Macaca mulatta: one gene and its partners. The protein of the gene in region 6 interacts with the protein of the main gene of each other region in a pairwise test. Links are inferred from orthologs where the notes say so. Each region holds a gene or a part of one and is shown on either strand. Other genes may lie near its edges. The genes, in order: LMO2, STK16, HNRNPF, USHBP1, FAM124A, CCDC33 and PPP2R3C.

Evidence for each region.
Region 1: the proteins of CCDC33 (region 6) and LMO2 interact in a two-hybrid assay, tested with the Homo sapiens proteins (2 studies listed by BioGRID). The two-hybrid records come from large-scale screens. The link is inferred for Macaca mulatta from reciprocal best matches to the Homo sapiens genes CCDC33 and LMO2.
Region 2: the proteins of CCDC33 (region 6) and STK16 interact in a two-hybrid assay, tested with the Homo sapiens proteins (2 studies listed by BioGRID and IntAct). The two-hybrid records come from large-scale screens. The link is inferred for Macaca mulatta from reciprocal best matches to the Homo sapiens genes CCDC33 and STK16.
Region 3: the proteins of CCDC33 (region 6) and HNRNPF interact in a two-hybrid assay, tested with the Homo sapiens proteins (3 studies listed by BioGRID). The two-hybrid records come from large-scale screens. The link is inferred for Macaca mulatta from reciprocal best matches to the Homo sapiens genes CCDC33 and HNRNPF.
Region 4: the proteins of CCDC33 (region 6) and USHBP1 interact in a two-hybrid assay, tested with the Homo sapiens proteins (2 studies listed by BioGRID and IntAct). The two-hybrid records come from large-scale screens. The link is inferred for Macaca mulatta from reciprocal best matches to the Homo sapiens genes CCDC33 and USHBP1.
Region 5: the proteins of CCDC33 (region 6) and FAM124A interact in a two-hybrid assay, tested with the Homo sapiens proteins (2 studies listed by BioGRID and IntAct). The two-hybrid records come from large-scale screens. The link is inferred for Macaca mulatta from reciprocal best matches to the Homo sapiens genes CCDC33 and FAM124A.
Region 7: the proteins of CCDC33 (region 6) and PPP2R3C interact in a two-hybrid assay, tested with the Homo sapiens proteins (2 studies listed by BioGRID and IntAct). The two-hybrid records come from large-scale screens. The link is inferred for Macaca mulatta from reciprocal best matches to the Homo sapiens genes CCDC33 and PPP2R3C.

The regions. Positions count from the first base shown.
Region 1 is NC_133419.1:31,415,904-31,419,751, forward strand, and holds part of LMO2 (rhombotin-2), read left to right. Parts: intron 1-2,337; coding exon 2,338-2,553; intron 2,554-3,848. UniProt on the Homo sapiens protein: Acts with TAL1/SCL to regulate red blood cell development. Also acts with LDB1 to maintain erythroid precursors in an immature state.
Region 2 is NC_133417.1:124,492,953-124,497,330, forward strand, and holds STK16 (serine/threonine-protein kinase 16), read left to right. Parts: upstream 1-1,291; 5' UTR 1,292-1,393; coding exon 1,394-1,479; intron 1,480-2,366; coding exon 2,367-2,586; intron 2,587-2,822; coding exon 2,823-2,956; intron 2,957-3,124; coding exon 3,125-3,245; intron 3,246-3,371; coding exon 3,372-3,467; intron 3,468-3,888; coding exon 3,889-4,010; intron 4,011-4,116; coding exon 4,117-4,255; 3' UTR 4,256-4,282; downstream 4,283-4,378. UniProt on the Homo sapiens protein: Membrane-associated protein kinase that phosphorylates on serine and threonine residues. In vitro substrates include DRG1, ENO1 and EIF4EBP1. Also autophosphorylates. May be involved in secretory vesicle trafficking or intracellular signaling.
Region 3 is NC_133414.1:55,882,323-55,886,705, reverse strand, and holds the start of HNRNPF (heterogeneous nuclear ribonucleoprotein F), read left to right. Parts: upstream 1-1,291; 5' UTR 1,292-1,368; intron 1,369-4,383.
Region 4 is NC_133424.1:17,736,519-17,739,150, reverse strand, and holds the end of USHBP1 (harmonin-binding protein USHBP1), read left to right. Parts: coding exon 1-65; intron 66-1,555; coding exon 1,556-1,745; 3' UTR 1,746-1,817; downstream 1,818-2,632.
Region 5 is NC_133422.1:30,450,306-30,454,717, forward strand, and holds the start of FAM124A (protein FAM124A), read left to right. Parts: upstream 1-1,612; 5' UTR 1,613-1,748; coding exon 1,749-1,816; intron 1,817-4,412.
Region 6 is NC_133412.1:52,157,398-52,161,245, forward strand, and holds part of CCDC33 (coiled-coil domain-containing protein 33), read left to right. Parts: intron 1-1,169; coding exon 1,170-1,333; intron 1,334-3,848.
Region 7 is NC_133412.1:108,239,473-108,243,919, reverse strand, and holds the start of PPP2R3C (serine/threonine-protein phosphatase 2A regulatory subunit B'' subunit gamma), read left to right. Parts: upstream 1-1,542; 5' UTR 1,543-1,573; coding exon of another isoform or gene 1,574-1,631; exon of another isoform or gene 1,632-1,694; intron 1,695-4,447. Other genes in the region: PRORP (mitochondrial ribonuclease P catalytic subunit), read right to left, coding at 1-284. UniProt on the Homo sapiens protein: May regulate MCM3AP phosphorylation through phosphatase recruitment. May act as a negative regulator of ABCB1 expression and function through the dephosphorylation of ABCB1 by TFPI2/PPP2R3C complex.

The DNA of each region.
Region 1 (3,848 bases), on a different chromosome or scaffold from region 6:
TTGAATTCCAGGCAGTTTTGCACCAGCTAAGGGCAAATTATCCTCTTTCACAGTCCTTTGGCAGCATCTGCATCGGGACATCCAATGTCTGTCGAGGTCCCATGAGTGGTTTTGAAAGCCCAGAGTAAGACCATGGGCTGTGGAAAGAGAAGAGATGCAATTCCGAGTTGATACACATAAAAACGCTAGGGTATTACTTATTAGAAGGGAAAATGGCAGTCCTTATATACAATCTGTAGAAACAAAGGAAAGAAAGCAAGGCTTCAGTGAATGAAACCCTGTCTCTACTAAAAATACAAAAAATTAGCTGGGCCTGGTGGCGGATGCCTGTAATCCCAGCTACTTGGGAGGCTGAGGCAGGAGAATGGCGCGAACCCAGGAGGTGGAGCTTGCAGTGAGCCGAGATCGTGCCACTGCACTCCAGCCTGGGCAACAAATTTGTAGCAAGACTCTGTCTCAAAAAAAAAAAAAAAAAAAAAAAAAAAAGAAACTATAGTTTTGATTTTTTTGAGCTAGGGTCTCACTGTGTTGTCTAGGCTAGAGTGCAGTGCTCACTGCAGCCTCAACTTCCTGTACTGAGGTGATCCTCCCACCTCAGCCTCCTGGGTAGCTGGGACTACAGGCTCATGCCACCAAGCCTGGGCAATTTTTTATATTTTTTGTAGAGACAAGATTTTGCCATGTTGCCCGGGCTGGCCTCAAACTCCTGGGCTCAAGTGATCCTCCTGCCTTGGCCTCCCAAAGTGCTGGGATTACAAACGTGAGCCACTATGCCTGGCCATTTTTCTTTTTTCCCAGATAAACTAACTTGAACTTCACATTTTCTTGTTCCAAAGATGATAATCTCATGAAGTGCTATTACACTGTATCTAGAAAGTGTGGGCATGGCTTTAACACTTCTAAATATTCACAAGAAAGGCTTCATTCTTCACATGACAGAATCCTCTGAAGTTGTCAAGAGTGTTATAGACATTGAGCCACCTAGCCTCCTGTCCCCAAGTATAATGACTGCTGGGCTTTGTGGGCTCAGACCAATTAGGACACAAGGTCACCTGGTAAGTTAGTACTAGTTAGAAATAGGAGACGTGGATTTATACCTGCAGGGCACCCAGGAGGAAACTCCCTTTGGGAATTTTACAGTTGGAAGAAGGTCTGGTTTTTGAAACATAATAGATTTTTAAGAAATAGATTTGTGTTTAAGGTTCCAGAGAACACTTGCTAATTATTACAAATCAACAAGTATTAAGTGTTTCCTGTGTCCCATTTGGGGGACACTAGAATAATTCCTTCCACTCGTTTATTTTCTTTTAGCAAAATTATTTATTTTTAAATGTTAAAAAAGTACTCAGATTCCAGTGAAGCAAAGTGAACAAGAGATACTATGCATGGCACATTAATGAAAGAACGCGTGTCACAGCCTATTAACAATTGCTGGATTGAGATGTCAATGACTGTTTAATTGCCTTCCACTCTCTTTGAAATAATCATTGCCCCCACTTCATTTTCTTCCTCAAATCAACTTTATCCGAATCAGCTTTACTGTTATAAAAATGTTCAGGTAAGGAAAGAAAGGCCTATTTGATGTTCTTCATAAGTGTAACAATGGCCTTACAATATGGGATTTTCCTCCAAGTATTCCTTCAGTAGGAAGAATGGAAAATGGAATTTCTGTAAAAGAGTAAAACTAGGAGAATTCCTATTATATCCTGATGGAATTTTTATTTTGGAAAGAGAAAGCAGCCTAAAATAATTTTTGGTCTCATTCTTCTTTCTTCCTCACCTCTGCTTTTGTGCGGGTGGGAAGGGCTGGAGGGAGGATGGCACTTTATTCAACAGGGGATTTGCAGATTCTTAGCTCTCTGGGTCGTCCGCTGCCCTGGTGGTGAGCGACTCTCTTAGTCCAGGGTGCCGCCTCTGAGGTTAGGCAGTGCCCTTGGGTCCAGGGTATAGGAGGAGGAAAATGAGGGAAATCTGTGAAGACAGAGAGGGAGAGTCAGCGGGGAGAGAGGGAAAAAGCAGAAGGAGACCAGAGGTGCCCAGGTAGTGCTGGGCATGGGCCAGGGGCACAGTGCCACCTGCAGTTGCCTTTGATGCCTCTTGGTGCCTTGTGTTGACTTCTTAGAGATCTAGGGAGTAAGGTCTGGCTCTCTCCCGTCTTAACCCAAGGTTGGTTGGGATTCTGCAATCTGGCCAAGGGATGTGTTGTCCTGTCCCTTCTCCCTTAGGTCACCAAAAGGCAGTCAGGTGAGGTACCCTGTCTGGCCCAAAATGATCTGGGACCCCCGGTGCTGGTCTCACCCTGGTGAGGCTGTCCCTGATGCTTGGCCTTCTCTCCAGGGAACCAGTGGATGAGGTGCTGCAGATCCCCCCGTCCCTGCTGACATGCGGCGGCTGCCAGCAGAATATCGGGGACCGCTACTTCCTGAAGGCCATCGACCAGTACTGGCACGAGGACTGCCTGAGCTGCGACCTCTGTGGCTGCCGGCTGGGCGAGGTGGGGCGGCGCCTCTACTACAAACTGGGCCGGAAGCTCTGCCGGAGAGACTATCTCAGGTACTCTCCGCGGCACTCCACTGGGGCCCTCGGAAGGGAGGCTGGGGGGTCCTTGGACATCTGCAGTCTGTGCATGTTGCCCCCGACCCTGTTCCAGGCTTAGACACCACCTATAGAAAGAGGTCAGGCTGCAGAAACTGAGTCTCAGCTCCCCTGCCGAGAAGCAGAGGGCATTTCTTCCTGTTTGAGAAGCATATTTTCAGGGTTACGTTCCTATGTGGTAAAATACTAATATCTTTAAAGGCAAGAGAATTGTAACCCCAAAATTCAGAGTTGTTCCCTTGGGGAGCGGGAGAAGCCAGGGGATGGGGTTGAGGAGGAGTACGCACGGAGGATCAGAGGAACTGGGAGTGTTTCTAACTTAGGAGGTGGGCTCTGAGGACCTCATTTGAATGCTTCAGAACACACACACACACACACACACACACACACACACACACACACACACACATATATATGTTATAAATATTCTTTTGTATGACTCCAGTATTATATGATGAGAAATTTAACAATAGAAAGCATGTGGAGCTCCAAGCATTGACTCATAGCAGAAAGGCGGTCTTTGAAGAACAGAAGGCAAAGGCCCTGCAGGCAGTTGGAGGTTCGAGTCCCAACACCGTTGCTTCCTAGTGGCCTTGGGAAAGTTACTTAACCTTCCTAAGACTCGATTTCCTCATCTGTAAAATGGGGATCATAATAGCACCTACCTCTAAGGATGTGGGGAGGATTTGATGGAATAATGCAGATAAACTACTTGACTCGGTATGGATCAAATAGATGTTAGCTGCTCTTATAACTTATCCTTATGACGTAATCATTATTTTCCAATCTAATGAGCAAAGGGATGGAAGAATGGAAGGGTAAAATAGGAACTCGACCACGCCAAGTAAAACAGGAGCTGAGGACATCTCCCATGCTTCCGTTGGCCATCCGAATTTTCCAGCACTCTGTGAATGCCTTTGCCTAGAATGTACTAGCGTTTCTAGTTTTCGAGGAGCTGCTGTGGAGGTAACTCTCTGTGCCCTCTACTGTCAGATCTGCTCAACTGTGTAGCTGTCAGGATTTCTCCGTCTTCCTGGAGCAGAGGGTCTATGAGGCATGCTTCCCTGATGCACCCAGACCATCCAACCCATGGAAGCTTGTTGAGACCTCAGCGCCCTTGGCTGCTGGGCCAGCTTTTCCCCTCGAACCTGCCCTCGGAGCATTTGACGTTACAGAAACAAAACCAAACCGAAAAACTGCAGGCAGTTTCACAGTGAAGGAGGCTTTACCTAAAGACTGATGGAAGAAGCCTT
Region 2 (4,378 bases), on a different chromosome or scaffold from region 6:
AGGCTTGGAAACTTGTGAATTTCCTTTTCTTTTGACTTTACAATCTCAAGAATGGGATGTGAAGATCAGGGTAATAATAATTACTGTTTATTGACATGTACTGAAGGCTATGTGTCAGATATTGTATTAAACACTGTACATCTAATTTAATCTTCAAACAACTCCATGAAGTAGATAATTATCATTTCCATTTTACAGAGGAGGAGAGGAAAGGAGGGAAACATTAAGTAGCCTGTCCAAGGTCACACAACTACGTTAACAGAGCTGGCGTTTGAACTAGTCAGTCTGGCCTCACAGTTAAGCTACTTAACATTAGGTACTATTATACCTATTTTACAGCTACTAAAAGTAAGGATCCGAGAGGTTAAGTAACTTGCCCGAGGTTACACACCTAGTATGCTATTAACACTCAATTTAGAAACTGAAAGTCTGGTTCACAAGCCTGAGCTCTTAACCACTGAGAGTAGAGGTAGTGGGATACAGGCCAGAGCCCGGAAGGTTGTAAGGGATCAGGAGACCAGGCCACCAGACCCGCCCCTACCTGGAATCCCCTCCGGGCTGCAGTGTAGTAGCCGCTTTCTGCCCCAGAGCGCCGGAGGTATGAAGCCTCCTACCTCCAACATTGGGAGATGGAGGTCCTGGGGGCCTCGGGCCGAGCCCGGCTTTGCTCCCCTTTGGCGCAGATGCCTGCGTCTTGACCCCCACTGAAGGCCAAGTAGAGAACCCTCACCAGGGTCCTGGGACCCGTCCACCCCTAGACCTAGCTCGCCCTGGGCCTCTCAGCTCCGCGCCCCCACATCCTCCAGATGCCCAGCGGTTGCTAAGATACCGCGGGCCGTTACGCCGCCGCGGACTGATGATGTCAGCACTGCTTCCGGTCGGTGGCGCTTCGCTCTGTCCCGAGCCAGGTCAGTCGGGGAGTGCAGGCTGGCCCATTCCAGACTCTGGGCTCCTAGGCCGGGGGTGGGCCCTGCCAGGAGTGGGCGTGAGCTTCGCACGTCCTCTGAAACTACGCTGTGCTCTGTCTTTGCGGCGCGACGGGTGTGGGAGCGGGGCCTGCCCAAAGGTGGGCTGGGGTTGGAGGAAGTGGCCCGGTAGCCGCTGTGTATCCTGAGGCCATAAGGCCCCTGACCCCCGCCGCTTGAAGCTGGCGAAGGAGCAAGGCCCATTTTCTCTAGACAATAGTGTAGGTTCCAGAGACCTGGGCCTGAGCTCTCCGCCTTGGTACTTCATGAGTCGTCTAGATTGTGCCGGACCTGTGTGAGACCCTGCCGTTGTTTTCTTTCCAGCATGATCCGCTTGGCCCCCAGCGCATCTCCTGGAAGAGCCCACTCACCCTGGACGAGCTCTTCGGTAGCCTCAGACTGTCCTTGAAGAGGATGACTGAAACATTATGGGCCACGCGCTGTGTGTCTGCTCTCGGGGAACTGTCATCATTGACAATAAGCGCTACCTCTTCATCCAGAAACTGGGGGAGGGGTGAGTGTTTGGAAGTCAGTTAACTAGGCCTCAAGGTTGTGGTCATTGAAGGAAAGCGGTGTGCACGTGCTTGGGGCACAAGGGTTTTATCCCTATCCCTATCTCCTCTCACCTGACAGAGCCTAGCTACACAGCATCAAGAAGGTGGATTCTGGAGCCAGGCCTGCTAAATCCACCTCATGTGACCTTGATAAACCATGTTTTTTTCATATGTTTAATGGAGATGATTATCATCCCTCACTGATGGAGTTGTGAGGATTAAATGAGATAATGTGTATAAAATGTCTCACCCAGTGCGTGGTTCTTAAGTACTTGATAAGTGTTGGCTATTATGGGCCGGGCGCGGTGGCTCAAGCCTGTAATCCCAGCACTTTGGGAGGCCGAGACGGGCGAATCACGAGGTCAGGAGATCGAGACCATCCTGGCTAACACGGTGAAACCCCATCTCTACTAAAAAATACAAAAAACTAGCCAGGCGAAGTGGCAGGCGCCTGTGGTCCCAGCTACTCGGGAGGCTGAGGCAGGAGAATGGCGTAAACCCGGGAGGCGGAGCTTGCAGTGAGCTGAGATCCGGCCACTGCACTCCAGCCTGGGTGACAGAGCCAGACTCAGTCTCAAAAAAAAAAAAAAAAAAAGTGTTGGCTATTATTTATTTAGCATCTGTCACGTGCAGAGGTCTCTATTACGACCATAGGACCTCAAAGATTTCTGTATCTCTGCTCCTGAGGAGCTCACAGTGTAATATTCTTCAGATTTCTCTTAGAGCCACATCTTGGGAGGGTTTCTGCTAAATGGGAAGGACACCCCACTCCCCACCAGGAAATTTCGCTAGGTCTTAGCCATGTGGGAGATGACCATGACCCTTCATTGACCCCTTTGGCCCACAGTGGGTTCAGCTATGTGGACCTAGTGGAAGGGTTACATGATGGACACTTCTACGCCCTGAAGCGAATCCTGTGTCACGAGCAGCAGGACCGGGAGGAGGCCCAGCGAGAAGCCGACATGCATCGCCTCTTCAGTCACCCAAACATCCTTCGCCTCGTGGCTTACTGTCTGAGGGAGCGGGGTGCTAAGCATGAGGCCTGGCTGCTGCTACCGTTCTTCAAGGTCAGAAAGACTCCCGGTTATGGAGGGGGTTGCAACAGAGCCACCTACCCATGGGCTATGTGAGCAGTCCAGCATGTTAGGAAGCAGGGACCATGTCCTGGGTTTGGCCACTTTAGATTTTGAGTTTGAGGTGTGTATCATGAAAGGGCTGATAGGCTTTGACATAGGGAAGGGATCAGGCCTAAGGAGCAGAGGCTCCAAAAACATCTCCAACTGTAGGGAAACTTGTGTTGCAGAGAGGTACGCTGTGGAATGAGATAGAAAGGCTGAAGGACAAAGGCAACTTCCTGACTGAGGATCAAATCCTTTGGCTGCTGCTGGGGATCTGCAGAGGCCTTGAGGCCATTCATGCCAAGGGTTATGCCCACAGGTCAGTGGGAGGACCCTGTATGCTTGCTGGGGCCCAGAGGAAGAGCCTTACCAAGAGAAATGGGAGGTTTCTGTTCTCCCAAGAAACAGCCTGTATGATTCTTTTGCTTGCTGGGATTCCAGCCTTCCTGTCCAGAGATGCTCATAGGTCACTTCTACTTCCCTACAGGGACTTGAAGCCCACCAATATATTGCTCGGAGATGAGGGGCAGCCAGTTTTAATGGACTTGGGTTCTATGAATCAAGCATGCATCAATGTGGAGGGCTCCCGCCAGGCTCTGACCCTGCAGGTAAAAAAATCTCCAGGTTCCTTTTCTCACCTGTTCCCCATTCCCACCCCTTCTGGTGCATGCCCCAGTTTGGTCACATGACCATGACGAGTGCCCCACTTTTGAGCTCTGGGATCACTGTTCCAGGACTGGGCAGCCCAGCGGTGCACCATCTCCTACCGAGCCCCAGAGCTCTTCTCTGTGCAGAGTCACTGTGTCATCGATGAGCGGACTGATGTCTGGGTGAGGAGCATGTGGGTGGGTATCTGGGTAGGGAGGGCTGTGGCTCTGTACCTGCTGTGGAGTAGAGTAGGTCGTTGGTTTCTGTTGCATGGGGCCCCAGGAACCACAGTATGTCCCCATCCACTTCAACTTCCTTCCTGGGAACTGTCACTGATACTGTACCCAGTTGCACCGGATGTGGTATAATCCCTGCCCCGAACAAGGTGAGTACAGCTCAGTATCAGTACTGAAGAGCAGGGGCTAAGCTAAGCAGGGGCTGCGGAGGCCTCCAACCGACTGGCAGTTTCTCTGTGCCCTGGTGGTGCCATGTGGCTGAGGTCAGCTTATTCTTTTTAGCTTATGTAGTCTTTTACCACAGAAGTAAGGGGAGCGATGTTATCTCCATTGGTCCCCTTCTAGGGACTAACCAAGTTATGCTCAGTCCCTAGGCTGCGTGCTATATGCCATGATGTTTGGAGAAGGCCCTTATGACATGGTGTTCCAAAAGGGTGACAGTGTGGCCCTTGCTGTGCAGAACCAACTCAGCATCCCACAAAGCCCCAGGTGAGCAAGCAACGAATGGGGCATCAAGTACTTCAGACTGCCCCCTGGTATTAGCTGGGTTGACAGATAGGTGTCATCCAGTCCCCCTGCACTCCTCCCTCCACAGGCATTCTTCAGCATTGCGGCAGCTCCTGGCCTCGATGATGACCGTGGACCCGCATCAGCGTCCTCACATTCCTCTCCTCCTCAGTCAGCTGGAGGCGCTGCAGCCCCCAGCTCCTGGCCAGCATACTACCCAAATCTGAAAAAGCAGCAGGTTGAGAAGATGGCCCCTCGTGCCTCAGAAAGAGGGTTCCCATCCCTCATTGGAATCTCTACCCATTCCATCCAGGACTGCTCTTACACTTGGGGGTAGCGGGGTCAGGACA
Region 3 (4,383 bases), on a different chromosome or scaffold from region 6:
TGGGGACGCGGGCTCCTTGGGCTTCTGTTTCCGGGTGCTCAGGGCAAAGGGCCGAGCCGGGGAGTAGGGCCGAGTCGGGGCCTGGCACGCCGGGAGCAGGAGGGCTTCCGGCAAAGCCGCGTGCTCTCGTCGGGCAGGCGCTAAGGACTGGGGCCGGCAGCGCGCCTGACCCCGCCCCTCGTAGGCCCCGCCCCGTGCTCGCAGCCGGGGGTTTCCATGGTGATGGTCAACAAGCCTCAACTGCCTCTGCTACAACTGCCAAGTTCCCCGCGTCCCACCCTCCTCTAGGTGCTCCGAGGGACCACCGGGGTGCCTGATGTGAGAGCGGGAGCGTAGAGACTCGGAGGCCGAGGTGAGGGGTGGCCGAAGTCTCCGACGTCGAAGGCCGCACACCCGTGACCGAGCGGGGACCGGGTCCCCCTGGGGGTGTGGACAGTGGGCCTGGGATTTGAGATTGGGGAGACCTTCCGAAGTCCAGGGCCCCGTACCCGGACTACCTGGGGTTTGGGCCTATTGGGGTGGGTGGGGCTGGGGCTGGGATTTGGGATCAGGGAGGAGAGATCTGAGTTTAAGCGCCACGCATCTGGGACCGATCGAGGACTGCACATAATGAGGGGCCGCGGCGCTGAGATTTGGGGGACGGATTCGAGGTCGAGGGGCCGGTACGTGGGACCGACGAGAACTGGACCCCCTGGGATCGGGAGACGCAGTGTCGGAGGTCGAGAGCCGCACGCCCAGATAGTGGTCCCACGCGGTGAGCACCGCGGGCTGAGATTTTGGAGTCAGGGGCTGCCGGGAAGACACGGCCGGCCGGTGCGTTAGTTCAGCCTCCTGGTCGGGCGCTGGCGACCACCGGAGGGCTCTGAAAGTGAGAACAGGCCTGGCTCAGTGGGAGGCCCAGCCGGGAGGATCTCTTGAGCCCAAGAGTTCCCGACAAGCCTGGGCAACATAGTGAAACTGTCTTTGCTAAAAAGTTAAAAAAAAAAAAATAGAAAGCCACGTGTGGTGGCGCGCGCCTGTTGTCCCAGCTACTCGAGAGGCTGAGGCGGGAGAGTTGCTTGCTCTGAGGAGGTCAAGGCTGCAGTGACAGTGACTGTGCCACTGCATTCCAGCCTGGCCGATGGGAGTGAGACCTTGTCTCAGAAGTAATAACAGTAGTAATAATACCTGAATAAAATGAAAGCCGCGCGCTCACGTGGCTGTAGGCGCCTGAGAGTTGCACAAGACTTCCTTGTGGGGAGTTGGCTCCGCCCTCCTCCCACGCCCGGTTCCCGGAGCCTTAGCTCTCTGCCCTGGGCCCATTTTCTTCCTCGGCGGCGCCGCGTGTCCTCGTAGCGCGGTCTCTGTGTTGGTCTCCTGCTCCTAGAGGTACCGTGTTTGTATCTGGGGTGAAAATCTGACTCGTGCGCGCTCTTCGGCTTAGTCGTCTTTTTTTTTTTCCCTTCTGCTTGTGTGTATGAAGCATTTTCGTCGATTCCGCCCTGCTCCTAGGAAACTTGAGGACGGGGCCCGGCTCCTGCTGCGCCGGCTGCCCCGCTCCCCCAACCGCAGAGTCGTGGACCAGGGTTTTGAGGAGCAGGGCACCCGACTCGCCCTCCCCGCCAGACCGCCCAGGTCGCGGGGACCCCTCCCGCTAGGTGCCTGGGATCCCCGCTCGGCTCCGCGTGTGTCCCGGCTGGAGGGTGGAAGGAGAGCCGAGCTCGGCCATTGCCCGCGGGGCGCCCTTCGCTGCGGCTTTTCGGTCTCCGAGCGGCCCGGGGACGAGCTAACGCGCCTCTTTAGTTTTCGAAACTGCTTGCGGGCGCTGGGGGCTCGGGCCGGCCATCTGCGTGGCGGGACAGGAGGCGCGCGCTGGCGGCTGCGCGCGAAGGGCAACGGGCGGCGACGGCGGCTTCCCGGAACCGCGCGGGGCGGGCGCTGCGCCGGGGTCAGGGCCACAGCCTCAGGCGGCAGGGAGTTCTGAAAGTGTTGTCTTCAGTCGTTCCTTTCAAAAAGTCATCTTAATTCTTCCAAAAATATACACATATAATTCTTTCTACTTATATTTTTAAAAGTTAGATACGTGGTTGTCTCTGAATTCCTAGTAAGATAAAAATTCATTGGGTTCTCTAGGTAGGTGAAAGATATCTTAAGTGCTATCCCTGAAAAGTGACTCGTTGCTTTTACAGAATTTATAAAATAAGACATTACTACTTTAATGAATGTAAAGAGAGAGATTGCTTTATTCCTAAGCAAAAAGATCTTTTGCCTTGTAGGTATTACATTCCGGTGTGCATTCTGTAGATTAGAGTCACTGCCGGCCGGGCGAGGTGGCTCACGCCTGTAATCCCAGCATTTAGGGAGGCCGAGGTGTGGGAGAATCGCTTGGGCGTCAGAGACCGACCCCGTCTCTATAAAATGATATATATATTATATATATTATTTTTTGAGACAGGGTCTCACTTTGTTGCCCAGGCTGTGTGATCTCGGCTGGCTGCCGAGATCCTCCTGTGCTCAAGGGGTCCTCCCACCTCAGCCGCCGAGTATCTGGGACCACGGGCATTCTCCAGCACGCCTGGCAAATTTTTGTATTTTTTGTAGAGATGGGGTCTCCTTGTGTTGCCCAGATTGATTTTCAAACTTTTGTGTTCAAGCGATTCTCACGCCTCTGCCTCCCAAAGTGCTGGGATTACAGGCGTGAGCCATCATGCCTGGCCACTTTTTTGTAAACTGTGAAGTTTTCTGTTAAGGGTAGCGTTACAAAGCTTTATTCAGGTAAAAATTGCAATTTATTTAAGGGAAAATAGTGAGTAAATAAAGTTACTTCTCCCACGTGGCCAGAACCTTGGAAAGTCTGGAGGCAAATGAGAGCCTAGTGCGGGTAGATGCCTGCAGGGGCTGCAGAAATGTGACAGGCCCTTTCCGTGGAGGTGACTTCTCTAATTCCCCTCCTCCACTGAGCTCTGGTTCTCTGCTCTTCGAGAGAACCACATTAGTTGATTCTTACTAGGTCCTAGAAGTTTTATTCCATTTTCTAATTACATTCTCAGGACTACTGTAAAAGGGGTTGCTATTAGCCCCAGATGAGAAAATGGAGGTTGGGAGAAGTCACGTGCCCAGGGACACAATTGGGACTGGGTCCCAAGTTGGACCGGGACACCCCTCCCCTGCCGGGGCCCTTGCCCTGTCTTAGTTCCCCTGAGCTACGGTTCTTTGGAGGGCAACAGGGTGGGCAGAGGGAGAACAGTCAGCCAAGACCACCCTGGGTTATTTTACAGCAAATCCCAGACCAATAAGGTGTTTATTAATAAATAAATCCGCAGTATTTCTAAGGACTTTTAAAATCTAACCATAATACTGCTATCATACCTAAAAATACATTCCAAAATACCAAGTTTCCAGGGTTTAAATGTTTCCGTATTAAATATTTTAAACAACTGGTTGGTTTGAGTCAGGATCCAAAGTCACACCTTATATTTTGTAGATAACTTTTTAAATTCAGAGCAGCACTGGCCAATAGAAGTATAATGTATGCTATAAATGTAATCTTATATTCTTTTTTTTTTTTTTTGAGACGGAGTCTCACTCTGTCGCCCGGGCTGGAGTGCCGTGCGGGTTTACGCCATTCTCCTGCCTCAGCCTCCCGAGTAGCTGGGACTACAGGCACCCGCCACTTTGCCGGGCTAGTATTTTGTGTTTTTTGGTAGAGACAGGGTTTCACTGTGTTAGCCAGAATGGTCTCGATCTCCTGACCTCGTGATCCGCCCGTCTCGGCCTCCCAAAGTGCTGGGATTACAGGCTTGAGCCACCGCGCCCGGCCAATCTTATATTCTCTAGTGGTAAAAGGAAACGTGATTCATTGTATTAATAATTTAACCTAACATATATCCACTATTAAAACACTTTCGTTTCTCCATGATCTTGACTAAAATAATTAAAAACAATCCTGTGAACCTGTCAAAATCCAGTGAGTTTTACACATACACATTTCAGGTGTGGTGAATGGATGCTGTATCAGTGATCATCTAGAAGTTCCCCTTTCTTAAAGGCCCCATTCCCGGTTATATTTGTCGGGTTGTCTTGCAGCATTCCTTCCCCACACTTCGCATTTTTCTGATTGTTTTTCCCTGGTGGCCTTTGAGTCTCTGTTCTTTATATTTGCTGTAAAGTGATAGTTACCTCTAGAAGTGGTGTTGGTTTTGGTTTTATTTTTGTTTTTAAAACAGAGTTTTGGTTTTGTTGCCCAGGCTGGAGTGCAATGGCAGTGATCTTGACTCACTGCAACCTCCGCCTCCTGGGTTCAAGCAGTTCTCTTGCCTCAGCCTCCTGAGTAGCTGGGATTACAGGCGTATTTTTAGTAGAGACAGGGAATCACCTTGTTGGTCAGGCTGGTCTCGACCTCCT
Region 4 (2,632 bases), on a different chromosome or scaffold from region 6:
CAGAAGGGGCGAGCCAGACGGTCTCAGAGTGCCGAGCTGAACAGGGATTTATGCAAAGCCCACAGGTGGGACCCCTGTTCTGCATCCCTCCAATCCCCCTGGCACCATCCCCCACCAGGATCTCAGAAGTATCCCTGGCTCTCTCTGGGCCTTAGCCTTCCCCGCTGCCCCAAAATAGGCAATAAAGGCCAGGCACAGTGGCTCATACCTGTAATCCCATGTTGGGAGGCTGAGGCTGGCAGATCACCTGAGGTCAGGAGTTTGAGACCAGCCTGGCCAATGTGGTGAAACCCCATCTCTACTAAAAGTACAAAAATTAGCTGGGCATCTTGGCACATGCCTGTAATTCCAGCTACTTGGAAGAAAGGAGAATTGCTTAAACCCAGGAGTTGGAGGTAGCCGTGAGCAGAGATCACACCACTGCACTCCAGCTTGAGCGACAGAGCAAGACTCTGTCTCAAAAAAAGAAACAACAGGCTGGGCCAGGCACAGTGGCTCATGCCTGAAATCCCAGCACTTTGGGAGGCCAAGGCGGGCAGATCACCTGAGGCCGGGAGTTCGAGACCAGCCTGACCAACATGGAGAAACCCCATCTCTACTAAAAATACAAAATTAGCCAGGCGTGGTGGCGCATGCCTGTAATCCCAGCTACTTGGTAGGCTGAGGCAGGAGAATCGCTTAAACCCGGGAGACAGAGGTTGCAGTGAGCCAAGATCAGGCCATTGCACTCCAGCCTGGGCAACAAGAGCAAAACTCCATCTCAAAAAAACAACAACAGGCCGGGCGCGGTGGCTCAAGCCTGTAATCCCAGCACTTTGGGAGGCCGAGACGGGCGGATCACAAGGTCAGGAGATCGAGACCATCCTGGCTAACACGGAGAAACCCCGTCTCTACTAAAAAAATACAAAAAACTAGCCGGGCGAGGTGGCGGGCGCCTGTAGTCCCAGCTACTCGGGAGGCTGAGGCAGGAGAATGGCGCAAACCCGGGAGGCGGAGCTTGCAGTGAGCTGAGATCCAGCCACTGCACTCCAGCCTGGGCGACAGAGCCAGACTCCGTCTCAAAAAAAAAAAAAAAAAAAAAAAAAAAAAAAAAAAAAAACAACAACAAGAAAAAACAGGCTGGGCACAGTGGCTCACACTTGTAATCCCAGCACTTTGGGAGGCCAAGGCAGGCGGATCACCTGAGGTCAGGAGTTCAAGACCAGCCTAGGCAACATGGTGAAACCCTGTCTCTATTAAAAAATACAAAAAAATTAGCTGGGCATGGTGGCGGGTACCTGTAATCCCAGCTACTTGGGAGGCTGAGGCAGGAGCACTGCTTGAACCCAGGAGGCAGAGGTTGTAGTGAGGGGAGATCTTACCATTGCACTCCAGCCTGGGCGACAAGAGCGAAATTCTGTCTCAAACAACAACAACAACAACAAAAAGACCAGTTAGCTGGGACCCTGGGAGACCCAATGTGAAAAAGCCCCCATTCTGGGAGTGGGAGTACATGGCCCCTGCCTTGGGTGGAGTCGGGGGCTATTTCTTGACCCAGCCCACCCACCCCTTCCAGCGCCCTGGTCCTGGCCTTGCGAGGAGCCCACCGGAAGCAGGAAGAGCAATGCCGGAAGTTGGAGCAGCAGATGGCACTCATGGAGGCTCAGCAGGCTGAGGAGGTGGCGGTGCTCGAAGCCACTGCAAGGGCCCTGGGGAAACCCAGGCCGCCCCCCCCGCCTCCCCAGCTTGGGGATACCGTTCTGTAGGCCCCTTACCCAGCCATGTCTGGACATGCCAGACCGCTGTGGCATGTCATAAACTATCCTGGAGTGACATCATGTCATGTTGCATGATTTGGCATGTTGGGGCACATTTGGCATGAGGGAAGCTGGTGCACATGGGTGTCCAGGGCCTGATGGGTGTGGCCACGCAATGCAGAAAGACTTGGGTGTCTTTGGCCTGGCACCAAGTGGAATGTGAACTTCACATCAGTGGGGTCAGGCCAGAAGCAACCTGGGCTGTGGGACCAGGTCTCTGGGACTGACGAATTTTGGAGGTCCGTGAGGTTGCATAGCCACAGCTGAAGTTCCAACTGGCCTGTCTCCTGAAGCCCAGGGAGGGATTCATGGGGACTGGACAAAGCTTCTCCTGGCAGCTCCTTCCCAAGGAGATGCTGGGTTTGGCTGGCAGATTTTCCTGAAGGGGGCCGGGCGCAGTGGTGCACGCCTATAATCCCAGCACTTTGGGAGGCCAACGTGGGTGGATCACTAGAGCCCAGGAGTTCAAGACCAGCCTGGACAACGTGGTAAAACCCCATGTCTACAAAAAAAAAAAAATACAAAAATTAGCCAGGCATGGTGGCATGTGCCTGTAAAGCTATCTAGGAGGCTAAAGTGGGAGGATCACTTGAGCTTGAGAAGCAGAGGTTGCAGTGAGCTGAGATCACACCACTGCACTCCAGTCTGGGTGACAGAGTAAGACCCTGTCTCAAAAAAACAAAACAGGCTGGGTGTGGTGACTCACGCCTGTAATCCCAGCACTTTGGGAGGCTGAGGCGGGGAGGATCACCTGAGGTCAGGAGATTGAGACTAGCTTGGCCAACATGGCAAAACCCCTGTCTCTACTAAAAATACAAAAATTAGCTGGGTGTGGT
Region 5 (4,412 bases), on a different chromosome or scaffold from region 6:
ACCTTAGGGGTATGGGTAGGGAGGAAAGAGCAGGTGGCCAGTAAATAAATCTATCATCTGCCAGCTCCTAGTACAGTGCTAAGAAATAGAGTTGGGTAAGGGGATACTGTGATGTAGGATTAGTCAGTGAGGCCTCCGTTATGAGGGGCCATGTGAACCCAGAACAGAAGGAAATGTGGGGGGAGTCTTGCAGAAAATCTGGGAGAAAATATCTCAAAAAGAAGGAACAGAAAGTGCAAACGCCCTGAGGCAGAAGAGGGCTCGGGTATCCCTCCCTGAGAGAGCTTTCCCTGCTCTCTCACAATTTGAATTATGTTCTCTCTTTCTTGGGCACACTATTCTTTTCCTTCATAGTGGTTTATCTCCATTTTGTTACACATATATAATAATAATATATATACACACACACATACACACAGAATTTGTTTAACTGTCTCCCCTCTGGATTGTAAGTGCAGTGAAGGCAAGGATCATACCTGTTGCTATTTTCTCTCATTTGTATATGCAGAGTTCACCCTCCTATTTGGCATTTAGTTATTGAATGAATCAGTACATTAAAAATGATCATTAATGACATTGTGCAATGCATCACTCACAATGTTTCTCACCCTACTTGAGAATTTTCTTTTAGAGATCAGTGCACAGGCAGGCGAATCTCCCCTGAAGAACTGGCACGCTCCTTTCTTTCAGCTAATGAGCACCAATATGTCCGTTGCTGCTCGGGGTGCAAGGAATTTTAGGCTCAGTAAGGACAATTCCTCCCAATGGTTTGGATAGGACTGTCAGAACTAAATTCAGGTTGTTCAGATTCTCCTTCCGACCGCCCTGCCAACTTGCCTCCCTCTTCACCCTCCTAATAGGAGGTGAGCCCCTCCAATAGTGATCATTAACTCACCCTGAGGTTATCCCCTTGCTGCAACAATCCGTGAATTGCAGGTTCATTCAATGCTCTAAATTATTTTTAAAGGCTTTTTTTTTTTTAAGTAGCAAAAGAATGCATGACACCTATTGTAAACTGGCAAGTTGGGGGGTGGGATGCCACTCAGATGTGTACTGAGAAAGGTGATAATGAATTTGGCGTCAGCAATTCTTCAGAAACTATAAGAAAACACCCAGGTATTCGCATTGTTCCCAAAAGGGAAACAAATCCTTCTCAGCTTTCACGATGCGCTGAGGTTGGTTTTCTCAGTGCTCCTCCCGGATCAGGAGCTGGGGAACCTCGTGGCAAGCCCTAGGGCTCGGGATTCCCGGACTGTGGGCCTGGGAGGGGCGGCTCTTCTGTGCACACTCACCCCGCCCCCACAACACATACGCGGTCACGCACCACAGATGGGCACACGCGCTCAGCACAGCCACAGTCGCGTGCAACCAGGAGTGCACACCGCACCCATTTCACACCGCATCCACAGACGCACGGGACCTCACACGCCTCGGCCACTCACGCGCACACGCCCCCCACGCGCTCACGCACTCGCTCGCGCGCACTCCCCGCGCACCGCCGCGCGCACACGCGGGTCCCGCCGGACGGCGAGGGGCGGGGCGGGCGCGGCCGCGGGTGCCCCGCCGGGAGCGGCCGGGAGAGGGCGCGGCGCGGGGTTCGCGGCTGGCGCTCGAGTTGTTTGCCGGCTCCAGGGCGGCCAGACGCTCGCGGGGAGCCCGGCCGGCTCGGACTGGAGGGAGCGGCCGGGAAGGAGCGCGTCCCGGGTCACGACGGCGCCCGCGAGCCGAGCGCGGCCGGGACGCGCATCATGGACCCGAAGGCGAGCGGCGGCGGCGAGGAGGACGACTGCGTGGACTCGGGCGCCGAGACCGGAGGGTGAGCCGCGCCGGGCCGGACCGCGGGCGGGGGGCGCTCTCCGAGTTGCGCGGCGGCTTCTCCCTGGCTGGGGACCCTCCTGATCCCCGCAATGGGACAGGGGCGCGGGGCTTCTCCTGCCGGATCCTCCGCTGCCTCCCAGGCGGGCCGAGCGATCCGTGGCTGCCCTCGGCAGGGCGGGCCCCACCCGGGGGAAGGAAAGTGGAAGGGCTCAAGGTTCAGTGCAAGCCCACCCATCCGGTGAGGCGATGCAGAGCGCCAGGCGGATGCAAAGAGCCCTTGTCAGCATCGCTAGAGACAGGAGATGCTCTTGCACTTGTTTCCTCCTTCCTCGGGGACTTTCCTCCTGTAGCTCCGGAGCACCCTGGAGTCCGGCCCTGGAGATGGGGAGAGGAGGAAAAGCAGGGTGGGACACCCGCACCTAAAGTCTTTCCGAAGTCGGCTAGGAGGATGGCATTTCTCGTTATATGGCTTCATCGTGGGACTTTAATCTGTGCTGCCGAGTCCCCTTCCTCGACTCCTCCAGTCCCGCCGAACTTCGTCACCTCTAAGTGCACCTGTCCCAGCCGGAACCGTTGGCCTGTTGTACCGGCGGGATGGAGATGGTGTTAAGATTAGGATCTAGCCCTGCCTTTTTTTTCTTTTCTTTTTTTTTTTTTTTTAAATATTCTCTTCGCTTCAGCGGACTCAAACAATGAGCTCAAACCTTTGGAGACTAATTAGTTAGTCTCCAAACACTGTTTTCCTGAGCGGAACAAAAGACAAAATGCCTTTTAGGAGATGAATGTCATTATAAAGGCTTCCAGGCAGCCCCTATATCTAAAAGACTTTCCTGTGCAGAGTCAGCACCACATCCAGGCCACGGGTACTGACCCAGGAGGAAAGGATGTCTTTTCCTATCTGGAGTAATCCTGGGGGAGGGCGGGAGCTGCCCAGACTGCAGAAAGCCTCATTCCTGAAAGGTCGGAGAGGTTTTAGACTAATCTCAGGATTTGGCAACCCTGTGAGGGCAGGTAGAGAATCTAGGCCCACAATCGACCCAGAGTTCTAACCCAACCCCGGCAAAGCTCCCGACACAGCCCCTCCTGCCCCACCACTCCTAGCCCAAATGTGGGACTTTACTCCCTAGGGCATTCACCCAGCAATGGGCTTTCTCTGTTATCTAAACTCATTCATAGCTCTCTACAGCACCCAATTATAATCTGGTGGAGTAACCTGATGCTAAATGCTAAACTCCCTTTCTTCTTCCCACTCTTTGTATAAGTGGCATGTATCAACTTTAATTGAAGATTATTGGCTTTTTTTTTTCTGCCACTAGTTAGCTGGACTATGAATAGAAGAAACAAAGCAAAATTAACCAGCTTATTTGTAGCTGCGTTAAATAAAGCGTTCACTAGTCTATTCATTTTCAATTTGCAGAGCTCACCTAAAACTGATGTTGTTTTCAAGGGCTCTGTCTTAGAGAAGGGAGAGGAAGTCCTGACCCAGGGGGTGATATCGCCCCAGGATCTAGACATCAGCATGACAGCTGCCAGGCCTCCTGGGAGGGGCTCGCCACTCCTGCTGACACCAGAGCTTCTGTTCTCAGCCTCTGTCACTAAAATGTGTAGTTGTAACAGGACAGAATTGTTTAAAGAATTCTTGGCGGGGCGCCATGGCTCACGCCTGTAATCCCAGCACATTGGAAGGCTGAGGTGGGCAGATCACCTGAGGTCGGGAGTTCGAGACCAGCCTGGCCAACATGGAGAACTCTCGTCTCTACTAAAAAAAAATACAGAATTAGTCGGGCGTGGTGGCACATGCCTGTAATTCCAGCTATTCGGGAGGCTGAGGCAGGAGAATCGCTTGAACCCAGGAGGCAGAGGTTGCCATGAGCCGAGATCACACCATTGCACTCCAGCTTGGGCAACAAGAACGAAACTCCATCTCAAAAGAAACAGAAATTCTTACTGTATCACTAGCATCCTTAAACTAAAGGTAAAATAGCATGCGTTTCAATGTATGCTCATTAGTTTTGTGTTTTCCGTATATTCATAGAGCCCTTGAATTTCAGTTATCAAAAAGCTGTTCATCGTTTCCCTACTTTTCTGGAGCTTGCCCCCACCCCTGACCCTATCCAGTTTTCACAGAGATTGTGTAGAAAGCACATAGAAAACAATAAGTTTGCTATCATTAGTATTTTTAAAATGCAAATCTGATCATGTCTCTCCTTTTCAAACTTTTATGGCTCAGTTATCTACAAATGCAAGGAATTTAACGTGGTTTATATGCCCTGGCTCCTGCTATGGAGTCCCTTCTTCCCTCCCTGGCCTTGTTTCTCAGCAGGTCCTTCTATGCGCCTTGTATCTAGCCACATCTGACAGGTTTTTCTGTTTCCTCGCCTTTGTCAGGCTGCCCTCTTTGCCAGCTCTGCCCTCCCCACCTGACATGCCTGTCTGCCAGGTGAAACTCTACTCTTCTTTCAGGAATCAGCTCAAGTGACACATCAGCTAAGGCAGTGATCCTTAATTTGGGGTCCATGAATTGCTTCACGTTGTATGCAAATGATGTGCTTCATGAATTTGTATGAGAAGAAACTTATTTTTTTTAATCAGAT
Region 6 (3,848 bases):
TGAGTCCCCACTGCCTCCCCAGTCAAAATGAGCCACCTCTGGGCCTTGGAAAGCTCTGCCCTTCCCGCTTGCTGCCTTTGCTCCAGCGTTCTGCTTCTGGCCTGTCCTCCCTGACTCCACTCCTGCACCTTCTTCCAACCCTTTAAGGCCTCCTCCTTCCTGCTGTCTTCCCTGACTGCCTCAGCCACCCAGAGCTCTGTCTTCTCTCGGCAACTCTCATCACAATGGTCCTTTGGGCCATGAATCCACGAATTACTAAACTGCTGAGTCCCTGCTTGAGGCAACTGGCGTAGGAGGCCCCCTGCATGGGCAGGCACCTCTTCCTCCCCAGTCCACAAGGTTCCTGGGTAGAAGACAGGTGGGGCATCTGGGACAGATGCACGAATTCACCTCCATGTGCACTGAGTGCCCCCGTGGACGTGGAGAAACTTTGTCAGCTGTAAAGTGCTGTGCACAGGAGGGGCCTGAGGTGATGGGTGGGCTGAGCTGAGGTTACAGGATAGACTGAAGAAGGTGGCCCATTGTTAGAACTGCAAAAGCAGGTGAGATTTAGGAATTACAGACAAGGGCACCTGCGAAAGCCAAGGCTTAGAAGTGGGACCAGACTTGAAAGGTGAGGTGGCCTGTCTCATCCAGCAGGAAGGGTAGGATCCAGGGCTGGGGGAGAGGCTGAAAGGCACTGCAAGAGATGTGGGATGGGAACAGAAGTAGGGAGAAAATGAGGCCAAGGCGACTGACTTACAGAGTGGGCGGAGGGGTGACAGAGGGAGGCAGGCACTTGACGGGAGCTGTGAGGGGCTAGATGCTAGAGGGTGGCAGTGAAGGGAGGTGTCGCAGCAGAAGAGGCCACTCAGGGCCAGGTGTGGTAACTCATGCCTGTAATCCCAGCACTTTGGGAGGCCGAGGCAGGCGGATCACCTGAGGTCAGGAGTTGGAGACCATGGGGAGACCCCATCTTTACTAAAAATACAAAAATTAGCTGAACGTGGTGGCATTTGCCTGTAATTCCAGCTACAGGGGAGGCTGAGGCAGGAGAATTGCTTGAACCTGGGAGATGGAGGTTGCAGTGAGCCAAGATGGCACCACTACACTTCAGCCTGGGCAACTGAGCAAGACTCCATCGCAAAAAAAAAAAAAAAAAGGCCTCTTAGCCCTGGCTTTCCCCACAGAACACTGAAGACCCAGAGGAGCCCCTGGTCGCCTCCCAGAGCACGGAACCTAAGATGGGTCACCTGTCTCCCTCTAACAAGGAGACCATCACGGTCACCCTCCATGGAGCCACCAACCTGCCTGCCTGCAAGGATGGTTCCGAGCCATGGCCCTATGTGGTGGTGTAAGTAGCTGTGTGAGAGTGGGGTCAGGGGATGGGTTGGGCTGTGAGCAGAAACCAGGGGACAGCTATTTGGAATATGAGCACCCAAAGGCCCAGGACTGGGTCATACCCAGAGGGGAAGAGCCACTGTGGGCACTGCCTGGTATCTCCAATGCTGCATGGGAAGCTGCTCACCAGGGCTGGGGAAGGCAGGGTGCCAAGGAGTCCAGAGAGTCACCCCTCCCCACCCCACCCCAACGGGGCAGGGATTGGCCACAGCTCAGCTCCAGTGGGGCAGGGCGCTTGTATGCAGAGGCCTGGGCTGGGCTCATGGGCATGATGGTCAGATTGGGGAAGGGGAATATTTGGGGCCTGCCTCTCCTGACTTCTGGGTGCCCCACCCCACCATACCCAGCCCTGGGGTAGGGTCTTCATAACCACCCTCCCCTCCCCTCCTTCTCCAGTCACTTCTATCATGGGGACTCCCATAGTTCTGGGCCTTTAATGCACCCCACACACCCCCTCCAGCCAGCTGCTGTCAGGGTACACACTTCCCCAGCCTGGCGCCAAGGCTTGCCATGCCACATCTATGCCCACCTCACGGGTCTCACTTCTTCCAGAAAGGCACCAAGTGGCAACACAATCTCCATCCAGCCAACCTTCCCTGGGGACACTAGACATGTGCTCAATCTTTACTATAAAGCACCCTCCAAGGAGCACATCAACCCTATACCCCTTCTATAGACAGACGGTGGGAGCCTTGGTGGCCTCCCACCAAGCCACCCTATACTTCCCCTCCCCCAATACTAGCACCATTCAGTTCCTGCCAAGAGTCTGTTGCCCACATTTCCTTTTGGGGAGTGCCTGCCCCAGCCCTCTCACCAATGCCTGCTGAAATCCTGCCTTCAAAGCCTCCTCCTCCAGGCAGCCACCAGAGTTGAGCTCTCCCTCCTCCGGAGCACCACAGCAGTGGTGACACTGGTCTGAAGTACTTTATATCGATATGGTTTATGCACTCCTCTGGGGCTCCCTGAGGACGGATCTCCTCCTCCATTTCCCCCAACAATGCACCCAACATAGGCCTGAGCCCAGACTTAGGGGCCAAGGAGTGACTGAGGCCAACACCTGGTTACTATGACAAGTCCCTGCCCCCCCAGCACCCCACTGTGAAAGAGGGATAGAAGCTGTGCCGAGTCCAACAGGTGAAACACTTGCCTCAAAAGCCCCATTTGTGCCAGCCCAGCTCCTCGGCCCTCCCTCCCCCAACTCCATTTCCGTGGTGAGGGAAGGACAGGTGGCGGGAGCAGGCTTGGCAGGGAGGCTGTTTCTAGCGGGGAGCTCGCCTTCTCCGCTCAGCTATTTCCATAAACCAATTATCGCCGATCATCTCGGGAGATTGAGGCCCTGACTGTCACCAATCCAGCCTGGGCGGCGGGGCGGGGAGCTGGGTGGCCGCGTGGCTCCTAGGCAGGCACCGCGACCCGCGCCATCACCCGGTTGCCATGGGAATGCGCGGCAGGAGCCTAGGCGACCCGAGCCTGGGTGGGGATAAGAGAGCCGGGCACACCCCAGTCCTCCTGCGCCCTCCCTGTGGCTGCAGCACGTGGGGCGGGAGAGAGGGTGGGGACAGAGAACGCGGGGAAGGGGGAGGGGAAAGCACGTCGCTGCACCCCTCTCCAGCTGGGAGCAGCGCCTGGGCCAGGCTGCAGCCTGCGTCCCAGGGCTCCAGAAAGGTGGAGCTGCCACCAGCTCGAGGTGGTGCTAATGAGATGCAAATGAAGGGAGAAGGAAGGGCTTCTGAAAATGAGGGCCCAGCTGTCAGGACCTGAAGGGGGCTTTCAGTGCTGGCCGCCAGCCCCAGGCAGGAACCCCAGAGGGAAGATCCAGATCCTCAGAGGCCATAGACCCTGGAAAGAATTTTATATCCCTGCACATCTGATTACAAATACACAAGTAACAAAGCACGCAATAGGCATAAGAAAGTTCACAAAAGTTTTCGTTTTCTTCATGATGAATACTTCAATGCTTTTTTAAAAATATGTATTTATTTGTAAAGACTTAAATGTAAGACCTGCAACTGTAACATCCCTAGAAGAAAACATAGGGGAAAGCCTCCTTCACATTGGTCTTGGCATTTAATCTTTGGATATGACACCGGAAGTACAGGCAACAAAAGCAAAAATAAACAAGTGAGACTGCATCAAACTAAAAAGTTTCTGCACAGCAAAGGGAATAATCCGCAAAACAAAAAGGCTGCCTATGGTATGGGAGAAAATATTTGCAAACCATGTATCTGATAAGGAGTTAATATCCAAAATATATGAGTAACTCATACAACTCAACAGCAAAAAGACAACGCAATTTAAAAAATGAGAAAAAGACCCAAATAGACATTTTTCCAACAAAGAAATACAAATGGCCAACAGGCACATGAAAAGGTGCACATCACTAATCATCAGGGAAATGCAAATCAAAGCCACAAGGAGATATCGCTTCACACCTGGTAGGATGGCTGTTCTCAAAAACACAAGAGATA
Region 7 (4,447 bases), about 56 Mb from region 6:
GATCTCTTCTTAGCTGCTCCAGCTGAAAAAAAATGAGGAACAGAAGAAACTTGCTTATTACTGCCCTCCTCTTTCCTGAGATATCTGGCCTTGGCAATCAGATTCGTTGCTTTGGTATTCTGTGGAGACATTGTTTTAAGAGAAAACAACCTCTGTTGGCTCCTGATGCCACAGCTGTCTGAAAGAAAGAGAGAGACATAAGAGTGCCCTGGGCCTAGCCCAAGGTATGGGTTGCTCTTCCAAAGCTTAGGAAAGCTTCGAATACCAAACAAATAGAAAGTCATTATGCAGTGAGATCAGCACCAGATAGTGAGAGAGATGTTGGAAAAAAACCCTCTTCTATAGCAAAATTAAAGGGATTGGTGGTCGGCAGTGGAGAGTCGAAGTGCAGCTTTTTAAAAGAAGATTTGTGTTTCTTCCTTACAGACAAATCAAAGTTCTGCTTTTGGGGTTACTTAATAGCAAGAAGGCAGGTGAGTTTTCTCTATTAAACAACAATCCGGGGATGTCCAACGTCGCAAGCCGCAAACCAGGGGACAGAGCAGGAATCCTCTGGTGCCTCTTACATTCCAGTTCATGAACCTGAGGAAAAAGCACAAGAAGGAACGCCCAGTTTTACTCACGTGGATCACAGTTGTCCTGAAAAGGAACAGATTCCCACGGGAAGCTTGCTGGAAAGGGCGTATAAAGCCAAAACCGTATCCAGGAGCCTCCAACTCCAGCCCACCAGCAACAGCGGCGAAAGCCAAAGTCTAGGGGCCCTCACCCTGCATAACTCTCCAAAGACCGCAAAGCTCCTCCGATGGAGGGATGCGGAGGGAGGAGGTGGCGAGTCAGGTGCGCCAACGACTCGGGAAAGGAAGAGAGATCCAGGAAGGGCGCTGCCTAGACTGCGTACCTATCGCTGACAAACGAAGTTCACTTCATTCAACAACTCAACGCGGCACTCAGGCTTAACGCGGCCATAAACGCGGCGGGAACTACAGTGCCCACTATGCACCGCGCCAGCCCCGGCCGACTGACGAGACTGACCCGGACTTAGGCGTTCCGCCTGGGCTGGCGGCGAGGAAAAAAGGCAATTTTGAAGCATTTTGTGGCAAAAGGGGTAAGAGACGGCTGCGGAAGCGTCTACTACATTCAGGGGACCTGGAGGACTTACAGATATCCGCAATGAACAATGAAAAGAAATTGTGAAAGAAAGCGCTTCCCTCAAGCCGGAATCAATTAACTTCTGAGTCACGTGGTGCGCACGCGCCAAAGGCGCACGATAAAGGAAAACGCGGGCTTATCCTGCCTTTTAAAATCGGGCTTGGTGAGTTTGGGACGCCTCCTGAAGGGGAACCATTTTCCATCTCTTTCATAGCTTTGCCCCAGTCAGCGTGGTAGCGGTATTCTCCGCGGGAGTGACAGTAATTGTTTTTGCCTCTTTAGCCAAGACTTCCGCCCTTGTTCAAGATGGTGGTTGAGCGGCCTTCCTAACCTTTACGGGGCCTGGCGGTGCTGACGCCTGAGTTGGTAGGGGTGGAGCAGGTAGGAAACAGCAAATGCAGAAGCTGCTGCGCGAGAGTCGGCCATGGACTGGAAAGAAGTTCTTCGTCGGCGCTTAGCGACGCCCAACACCCGTCCAAACAGTGAGTTTTGGGAGGGGCCGTCCGTTGGGATGGCCCGGCCCTAAACTCCTAGAGGTAGGAGGGAGATGGGGAGGAGGAGCAAGGGGGAGCCGCACTTTCCGCTTCTGTGAAACCTCGCGACAAAGGAGGCGGAGTGGAATGTGCTTTAGGGATCCCGATAGGGTTGACCCAAACTTTCCTGGGACGGAGTCTGGGGGAACGAAAAACTTAGCCTTAGTCACTGACTTCCATGGTCTTAATCTAAACTTGTGAAGAATAACTTAGAACCCCGGATCCAACAACGCCTCAACCCCACCAGGACCTGTAATTGTCCTACCGCCTTTTTACTGTCACGCTTTTTGCTTCCCTCCTAATCCATTTTATATTTCATAATCCATTTTTCCTTTTATTTTTCTCCTTCACATTGCTTATTAACTAACCTCGTTAAATCTAGCTTTCCTATTCCACACCCGCACTAAGGGCTGTTGAAAGTGGCTGGAGAAAAACAGAACCTTGTCTCACTTTTTTTTTTTTTTTTTTTTTTGAGACGGAGTCTCTTGCTCTGTCGCCCAGGCTGGCTGGAATGCGGTGGCAGCATCTCAGCTCACTGCAGCCTCCGCCTCCCGGGTTCAAGCGATTCTTCTTCCTCAGCCTCGAGTAGCTGGAACTACAAGCGCGCGCCTCCACGGCGGGTTAATTTCTAGTAGAGACGGGGTTTCACCATATTGGTCAGGCTGGTTTCAAACTCCTGACCTCGTGATCCACCCACCTCGGCCTCCCAAAGTGCTGGAATTACAGTCGTGAGCTGCCGCGCCCCGCCGAGTTATCTCACTTTTAGTACATGTCCACTAAGCTAAAGTAGATGTTTCGGTCATGTCTACCGTGTTTTCCTGGACGTTCATTCTCCTACATTCAATTTTCATCTTCCAAACTGCCAATCTGTGTTTCCCTAGATACACTATTTTTTTTTTTTTTTTAATTCAGGCTCTCCCTCTGTTGCCCAGGCTGGAGTGCAGCAGCACAGTGACGTCTCGCTGCAACCTCGATTTCCTGGGCTCAAAGGATCCTCCCACCTCAGCCTCCTAAGCAGCTGGAAGTACAGGCACACGCCACCACATCCGCTAATTTTTTATTTTTAGTAGCGGTGAGGTCTTGCTATTTTAATAGGGCTGGTCTCGAATTCCTGGCCTCAGGCAGTCTTCCTACCTCCACCTTCCAAAGTGTTGCTATTACAGACGTGAGCGCCCAGGCAACACTCTTTTACAGTCCATTCTTCTCATCTCTTACACCTGCAGTCTGTCCTACCCACTTCTTACTTTAAGCTGATGAACTTTTTTTTAAATATATATCTCATTAAGAAAGGAGAATCAGTTGGCCGGGCGCGGTGGCTCAGGCCTGTAATCCCAGCATTTTGGGAGGCTGAGGCGGGCGGATCACGAGGTCAGCAGATCCAGACCATCCTGGCTAACACGGGGAAACCCCGTCTCTACTAAAAATACAAAAAAAATTAGCCGGTCGTGGTGGCGGGCGCCTGTAGTCTCAGCTATTCCACAGGTTGAGGCCGAAGAATCGCTTGAACCCGAGAAGCGGAGCTTGCAGTGAGCCGAGATTGCACCACTGCCCTTCAGCCAGGGCGACTGAGCGAGACTCAGTCTCAAAAAAAAGCAGTCAAAGGAGAACCTCATCTGTCCCCCTTAACGTTTCTTTCAGCCCCACAACCCCACAGGTGCCCATACACTCTGGCTTCACTGTTAAAATGATGAACTGTCCATGTTCCTATTTAAGAGGTCCTCCACTCCACCACTAGATTGCATTCTTTCTCCTGTATTCACTGACTTCCTTCCAGCCTCATCCTTTCTTTCATACATCGTCAGATTTTCCTTCTGCTGGATCATTTTCACCAGCACAAGTGTGCTATTGATATCACCCATCTTTTTAAAAGGTGGGTGGGTGGGGGGAGTGTTGTTGGGAGGCCGGGTGGCTCACTCCCAGCACTTTGGAAGGCGAAGGTGGGAAGATCGCTTGAGGCCAGGAGTTTGAGACTGGCCTGGGCAACATAGTGAAACACCATTTCTACAAAAATAGAAAGTAAAAAAATTAGCCCTGGTGGTTCTGCACCCCTGTAGTCCTAACTACTCTAGAGGCTGAGGAAGGAGGGTTTGTTTCAATCTAGGAGTTTGGGGCTGCAGTGAGCTATGATCATGACACTATACTGCAGCCTGGGTGACAAGAGTCAGACCCTGTCTTAAAAAAAGTCATTTGGGCTGGGCACTGTGGCTCACGCCTGTAATCCCAACACTTTGGGAGGCCGAGGTAGGTGGATCACTTGAGGTCCAGAGTTTAAGACCAGCCTGGCCAACATGGTGAAACCCTGTCTCTACTAAAACTACAAAAAGTAGCTGAGCACAGTGGTTCGCACCTGTAATCCCAGCTACTTGGGAGGCTGAAGCAGGAGAATCGCTTGAACCCGGGAGGCAGAGGTTGCGGTAAACTGAGATTATGCCACTGCACTCCAGCCTGGGCGACAGAACGAGACTCCATCTCAAAAAAAAAAAAAAGAGTCATTTGATCCCACATTCCTCTCCAGCTTCTGCTGCATTTCTCTGCACTCTTTATAGGAAAACTTCTCAAAGAAGTTACCTGTACTTGGCTGGGCACAGTGGCTTACGCCTGTAATGCCAGCACTTTGGGAGGCTGAAGTGGGTGGATCACCTGAGGTCAGGAGATCGAGACCAGCCTGGCCAACATGGTGAAACGCTGTCTCTACTAAAAATTCAAAATTTAGCCCGGTGTTGTGGCAAGTGTCTGTAATCCCAGCTACTCAGGAGGCTTAGGCA